Linked DNA regions of Drosophila melanogaster. The protein of the gene in region 1 interacts with the protein of each later gene in a pairwise test. Each region holds a gene or a part of one and is shown on either strand. Other genes may lie near its edges.

Region 1 (3,757 bases):
CCAGGACAGTAAGTTGTCCAATGGCTAAGATCAGCCGTGGGCTTAAGCAGAAAAATGCATTAAACAATGGCTAATATAGCATGTCTGCTCAATTTCAATTAAACGAATCGAAACAAAACTATTTCAACCAACAAGTTAAACGTTGTTCCGACCATATCGATGCGCAGTGGCTTGAGTGACATGTCCTAATTCGTAAGCGTTGACTTTTACCGGCATTTCAATTAACCCAATTAATGGACGGGACCTAATTAAATTTTGAATTCATGTTGCCAGCAAACGCACACTCATCCAGCTGCCTAGTTGCCCCGCACACAGATACGCCGGCACACACACCCTCGCAGGCGAACACACAGACATCAGTCAGCTGTTTTCTGCTGGCCAGCTGTCGTTCGAGTGCGAAGGAGATGGCGCGAAAGCCTCGCAATTCGGGGGTGGTTGGGGTACTGTTGGGGGTGGCAGAGGATGGTGTTGGATGGTAGCAAGGGGGTGGCTCGCTGTAACAAGTATGTACTAATGTCGGCGTCTGGCTAACTGAGACACGGCTATGAATGAGTGCCCCAAACGGAGCAAGCGGGCCACTGAAACTGTAGCTCGATGACCTTGATTATACAACACAGCAGCAGCGCCACCACCCCCCAAACCAGCTCAAACTCTACCAGACCCACAAGCAGCCCTGTTCGCAGCAGGGCCACTCCTTCAAAATACCCTACGTCAAATAAAAATGGCAAAAAAGTAGTCAGAGGCTACAGACACTCGAAAAAATAATAAGGAAATCTAACTAAATTGTACAGTAACACAATATGTTTATGATGTTAAACTTAAAATATTATAAAACTAGATTGTATCTCTATCACATATTCTATATAATTTAGAAATGTGCACATTTAAGTAAAATAATTTACCACCACAACTCATCTTAAACTTCTTCCTGGCCTACAGATAAGCATTCTTCAAAATTGCTTAAACAAGCTTTTCTTCGAGTGCACCCCAAGAGTCGGTGATGGTAACTGGTAACTGACATTACAACAAATCATCGGCCAGCAAATGTTGGCAACTGGGTGCCAAGTCAACGAACTGCTAACCGCAACACAGACACCGACCGCCACCCACTCGAACACATATATAAATTGCCGTACGGGGGCGTCATTAAAATTGCAACAGGGCCTTGAAGGAGCAACAGAGCAACAGGGGGGGAGGGGGTGGAGATTGGAGCGCTCCCCAAAAGACCAGAAGACGAAATCAAAAGATCAATAATTATTATGATGTTGCAGCACACCCGAAACGAGACGCCTTCAGACCGCAGAGCCAAGTCAAGACGGGCAGGTGAGACAAGGGGGGCGGAAAGGGGCGAAAAGGGGAGCCCCAAAAGCGGAGGGGCTACAGCCGAAAAGTTCGACAAGCGCATTACAACAGTTCGGGGGTAGAAAGACAGACGACGGATGAAGAGTGGGGTAGGGTTGGCCAGGGGGGTGCGCTTGCTTACAAGTGCAACCATTTTGTAGTACAAACTTCGAAAACCAAAAGCGAAATTGGCAAAACAAAAGGCCAGCGAAGGGAGCGAGGATGTGGGCCCACCTCCTGACTGCCTCCATTTGTGGATTGTGGATCCCGCAGCCACAGCTGGAGTCGGTCATGCGCACTCCGTCCAACCGATTGGCCCGCTTCGCCGCCATTTAGAAAAGGCCCACCAAGTGGAAGCGAAAGAGATGGGCTTGCTGCCAGAAAAGGACGGAGCGTGAGAGCGCTGCCCGCAGAGCGAGTGCGACAAAAACACCTGTTCCTGTTTCGAACTCCCCCCCCCCTGCAGGCCGTCAGTCCATCGAGTCGGCTATCCGCTATCGGCTATCCGAGAAGTACACGCAGAACTGGCTCGGAACCGGTTGCAGCTGCACCAGTGCCACACCAGTTCCCTACCCTTGCGGAGCGACGAGCTAGTCGCACTGCTCTCGCAGGCAGAATGTATCTGCGAGATACATTTCGGGGTGAGTGGCTGGCTGGCTCGCTAGCTCGCTGGCTCCCTGGCGTGCGGATAACGTACGGCAAACGGAACGAAGCGCCGACCGGTTTAGTCGTTCAGCAGTCTCCGTGCAGTGAGCATGTTTGTGCGCCAGACATCGTCGTTGGTCGGTTGTCGTCATCGCTACTATATAGCCGTCGTATCGCGAACATCGACCGTCTTAGCTCGATAGCCGTCGGATTTGCCTTTTCGGATGCGAGAGACTCTTAAATCCCTCACCATAGATCCAAATCCCTGCGAACAAAACGCGTGTGCGCACACGGATCACACAGCCGTGATAATCCCGCTAAATTCGCCGAAAACCCAGTGCTCTGTGTCCCGGTCTCATATTGAGTAATTCAAGCAAACTTCACGGAATAAGTAAACCAGTACAAGTGCCTTACACAAATATCCCTGCTCAATGCCGGAAACTTCTTGAGTACGGCCCAAAACGAAAAGGCGCCCGCTCTCAAGATTCCCAGCCCACAAATATCTCGAGTGTGCTTCGCCGAGTGTCCTGTCAGCCAAATATATGGTAATGGCAGAGATTGGTGGCCATTTGGCTCACCAGCTACCGTTGCACAATCACAACCACAATCAAACTGGATTACAGCCATCGCTGGTGATGAACCATCACCTGGATTTGGATTGCCATGGACACGATGTGATAAGTGAGTACCGATATTCAAGGGCTGCTGGCTTTCCGATTTCGGGCTATTTGGGCTGCATCCTTGAAAAGGACGATATTTAATACTGGAGATAGCACGATCACTTACCTAGGGACAGTCTTAAAAAAAGAACAATGGAATGCCCTTCCACAGTTTGGATATGAGGCTATTGTATCTTCTAGATACATTTGTTGGTTCTAAGTACTTTCGGTCTGTTTAAGAAGGCATTACAGTTTTTTTCCTTAGTTCCCTTAGATTTAAAATTTGGATTTAAATAAATGTCCTGACAAATAACTTAGAGGCTAATAGGGGTTTAGTCTAAAAAAGCGCTTTGTTGATCCACTGTAAACCAAGATTAAATTGCATTTTAAATCAACCTATTCAGAAATTGTATACCTGCAATTGAAACATCATTACATAGATCACGCATCAGTGTCGAATCATTTGCCGCTAATAAAGCTATTTAAAGCAGTTAATGACTTATTTATGGCTATTGTCCTAGTCCCCAAACAAAAATTGGCAAATTAAATAGTCATTAAACAAGAGCCACTGATGGGTAACTTTCTCGATTCGTAAATATGGAAAATGAACGAGGAAAGCCCGCTTTGGACATTAAAAGCCAATAAAATAAGTAAAAAGCCGTGTTAACAAATGCTCGCACCCAAATCACAGTTGTAAACTTGTCTTGCTTATTTTTGAAACATTTTAATGCCCACCATTTTAAATTCCAGATATCAGAGATCAAGGCTCGGACTCAAAGGTTCCGAGCTTTAAAACCATGAACTGTTAGTCAAGTTTATTTGTAACGAAGGTCGAAGTTATTTTTATACCAAAATCATTAAAAAGTTCAGGCACGCGTTGAACTCTTTCATACCTTGAGTTTTTAATTTTGCCAATGGATGTGATGTGAGCAAGGCTGCGCTAAAGTAATTACAAACAAATTAAAGTGATACCAAGAAAATACGAATCCATAAATAATTTTTATTGTGCCATTCTTTTGTCAAATTGGAGGATCTTTTTTTTTGTATATTGAACGACTTTCTGAGGTTCTATCTTTAGGTTCGGGATTTCTTTCGGGCCACAGTCGTTAGCC
Region 2 (3,757 bases), on another chromosome or scaffold:
TTGAAGTCTGGCTTCCTCGATATTCGACTCTGAGTCATGACGAACCTTTTTCGCCCGATGACGTATGCAAATAGGTTTTTCCTCTTTTCGAGCTAACCATATTTTTTCAGCATTTCCCCAACCCCTTTGGCGTTTTTCGTTTTGGGCCAAGTGGGCGAACTGTGTTGTTGCGGCTTGTTCATTGGCAGCAAACGTCGCATAATACTCGTAGTACATTGCGTGTCGTAACGCTAAACGTCAACCGAGTGAGAGGGGCATATGCGGTCGAGGGGGGGAGAGGGAAGGAGCCCAGTTTCTCGCTTTGGTAGCTGACGAATATTGGGTGGTGACCCCGACAAATTGGCGAATCTTTAGTAGATTATCGGGGATTGGAAACTGTTAACCAGAGAATTACGAAAGCGATGACAACGCGACAGATTCAAGGAAAATGAATGAAATGAAAATGAAAAAAACTGACGTTTTTTTTTACCAGTTATATTTTATATACTTTAACTTTGTATATAAAATTTGTGTCAACTATAATTTAACGAGGTTGAATTGTTTATTTTCTTAATTTTACTTCTTTTAAAATTCCCAAATCGTTCTTTCCACCATTTGTTTTTTGCTTATCTGAGCTAATTTATCGCGAAATCGTTAAGATATATATTTTTCCACGGAAGTTTTATCACACATTAAATATAAATGATTATCAAGTGCAGGCCGAATTCAATTGGCCACAGAACGTCAACAAAGCAGCGCGGAAAAAACGCTTAGTAATGCCTTTAAAAATATGGCAACACGTAAGAGCCGCCCCTGCAGTTTTCCCTCCGCTAGACTCAAGCAGTGCACTTTTTGTTTTCACAATCATTGCAGATAGCAAATGAAAAACTGTTTTCCCCGACAAAGAGCGAAAAACTAAGAGAGAGACTTGAATGTGCCAATCTTTGAAAACGCAACTTTGTCGAGCGTTCATTCACATTGAAAACAGAGGCATAGCATGTGGTTTGATGTCGTAACACACACAAAGAGAACCCGAAAGAGTGGCAAAGAGAGCGCAGAAATGGAATTACCTGTCGCTGTTGAACCGCGCCTCCTTGTTTTTCCCCAAAAAAGGGTAGGTTTTTCGCGGGGGGTGCGGCGTGTACTGTTGCTCAAGAATCACACACAGACACACACACTAACACACGAAATTCTCCCTCTTCTTCTTGCAATTTATTTAAAATTTTGTTGTTGTATTTAGTTGTATATATTTTTGTTTGCCAAAAATTTATAGCCACACGCGTGCGAAAAAATCGAATTGGGGAATCTATTCACTCGTGTTATGTGTTGTTTGATATTTATATATATTTTTTTTTTTGTTTTGTAAGAACTTGGAACGGCGCTTGTCCGTCGGCTTTACGTAACCCCGCCGCACACACGGGTTAACTTTTTTTCTTTCTTTCTCGTAAAGGGTGTGCGGCAATTTGGGGGGGGCTGCACTTGGACCCCCTTTTTATATTTTGTGACTAATTTATTTATTTCATTTATTCACACCGAGAAACACGCGAGCGAGCACCTTTATTTTATTTTATTTATTTCTTTGATTACGTTGGCGTTTGTTTTGTAATACGCTTACGTTACGCGACGAGACAGAAAGAGAGAGAGCGAACGCACTGGGCGAAAGAAATAGCGACAACAGCAGCAACGGCGGCAACGTGTTCGAGTGGCTCGGCGATGATTTGCTTATGGGGTGCGCTCCACTTTGTTGCTTTTTTATTTGCCTTTTTTATTATTCATACTTTTTTTTTGTATAATTTTTATTATTTTGCTTTTTGTATTTGTATTACGGCCTGGTTTTTTTTTTCAAACTCTCCCTGCTGTCTGAACTTGCCACGGCCGCTGTTCAACAGCGAATGACTGCTGTGAAAAGTCAGTCGTTGGCTTGGAGCGAAAAATTGGCGCTCTCTTTTGGGGTCGACTCTCTTACGCCTCCGTGGATGTGTCTGTTGCGTCATCGATGTCTGTGCCTTGAGCTCTCTTTGTTTAGCACTTCTCTCTCTGGCATTTTATTTTTTTTTTTAATTTTTGCCGGCAAACCGTCAACTGTCACAACAGGCGACGCCAAGAAAAATGATGGGGCAGCGGGGGCTGCGGTGGGTGATTTGCAAAACTATTGGGTTGGGGGATAGTGGGTGGTGTTGGGGGTGCTAGTTTGCCAGTGGGCGTCATTTATCGTATGATGCGCATTTCCGGCGCCACTCAACAGACTACAGCCATATAAACACCAAGCAAACATCAATAATCACAACAGATACGGTCGATTTTCTGTTACTTAAACTAAATTACATATATAAAATTTTGTAATTTTGTTTAATACGCAAATATAGTTTTTAGATTATGTAAAATAGAATAAAAGCTTACTCAAATAACTTATAAAATTAATAACGAAATTTGTATAACAAAATACACAATAGATTAAACTGTGAAAATATAAGTTGATTAATTCTCAGACATGTCATTACAAGATGTATTAATTTTATAATCCTTAAACAGGTTTTGAAGCTATAGATTTCCTATCCCGATAGAGCTCAGAGTTGTTAAAGTTCGTCTGTAATATCGAATATCTGCGTTTCGTAAGTGTTGTGTGGCTATTACATATTGTTTTGTCATTTAACGCAAATTACGTATACGACGCGTTGACCTCATTTGGGTTGATCAACAAATGCAGTTGTCGACAAACTTGGCTTATAACAACCGCGTATCGCTTCCCCTCCCCCTACTTCCCGTCTTTCTCTTTTGGCTCCGCTTGGCTTGTATTTCAAGCTCAAGTTCAACGTTGTCTGTTAGCGGTTGCCTGCATACTACCAGTTTTCATGCTGCTGCTGCTGCTGCTGCTGCTGCGTTTCCATTAACATTTTGAGTGGCCGTTGTTGTTAACTCATTTTTCGCTTTCGTAAGTCTTGGACAGTATAAAAATATGCGGGGCGGGCGAGTGGAGTCCGCTTATGTTTGAGCATTGCTCGCATTTATTGCAACATTTCCCCATAGGGAAGTAATCGAATTGCTTTGCCTCAGGTCTGGGTCTGGTTTAAGCCTGCATTCAAAAAAAAAACAAAGCTTGAAAGTTTACAGATTAAAACATATTAAAATTAACAAAATTTATTCTAATATATATTTTCAAATTTCTGAGTTGTAGAATCTCAATAATCTTTAATTGTTTAGCAATTAACGTTATTTTAGTAGTACCATATATTTTAATACCATGTACAATTATATAATTAAATTTTGACTGTGTACCGGTTATACAGCTCCCATTTCTCAAATAGTTGGCGCTGCTTTTGTTGTTCATCAACGGAAATTAGCTGCGAGTTTCATGTTTGAAATGTTTATTTTGTAAGCAATATATGAGGAAATTAGTTTCAGTTTTTTTTTTTTGCTTTATTATGTTTTTTGCATAATAGTGTATATCACCGATTTGGGCTTTGGTTCAGCTGAATTTGAAATAGGTGTGTGAAGCTGACAAACAAATTATTTATTTTTTTTCGTTGTTTTAGTGAATGTTAATTGAAGTCGGGCGAGTTTCGTTTGTTGCCAAGTGGAAGTGAGAATTTGTCTTATGATTGGAATCCATGGAAGTTTTTCCACAGATTAAATGTTGAATGGTATACATTGTTTTAGAATGCGCATTTTATCCGAACTTGAAGTTCGTCATTTCAGTTCTTGAGTTTCCGGCAGCTTTATTTAGCGACATGTCAACTGCACCCAACAGTTTTAACAGCTTATCTCATATCCAGTTACC

Evidence for each region. The genes of interacting proteins can lie anywhere in the genome.
Region 2: the proteins of tup (region 1) and CG32369 interact in a two-hybrid assay, tested with the Drosophila melanogaster proteins (one large-scale study listed by BioGRID).

What each region holds. Positions count from the first base shown.
Region 1 is NT_033779.5:18,879,567-18,883,323, reverse strand, and holds the start of tup (tailup), read left to right. Parts: upstream 1-2,062; 5' UTR 2,063-2,528; coding exon 2,529-2,667; intron 2,668-3,757.
Region 2 is NT_037436.4:7,807,948-7,811,704, forward strand, and holds the start of CG32369 (uncharacterized protein), read right to left. Parts: upstream 1,879-3,757; 5' UTR 1,050-1,878; intron 1-1,049.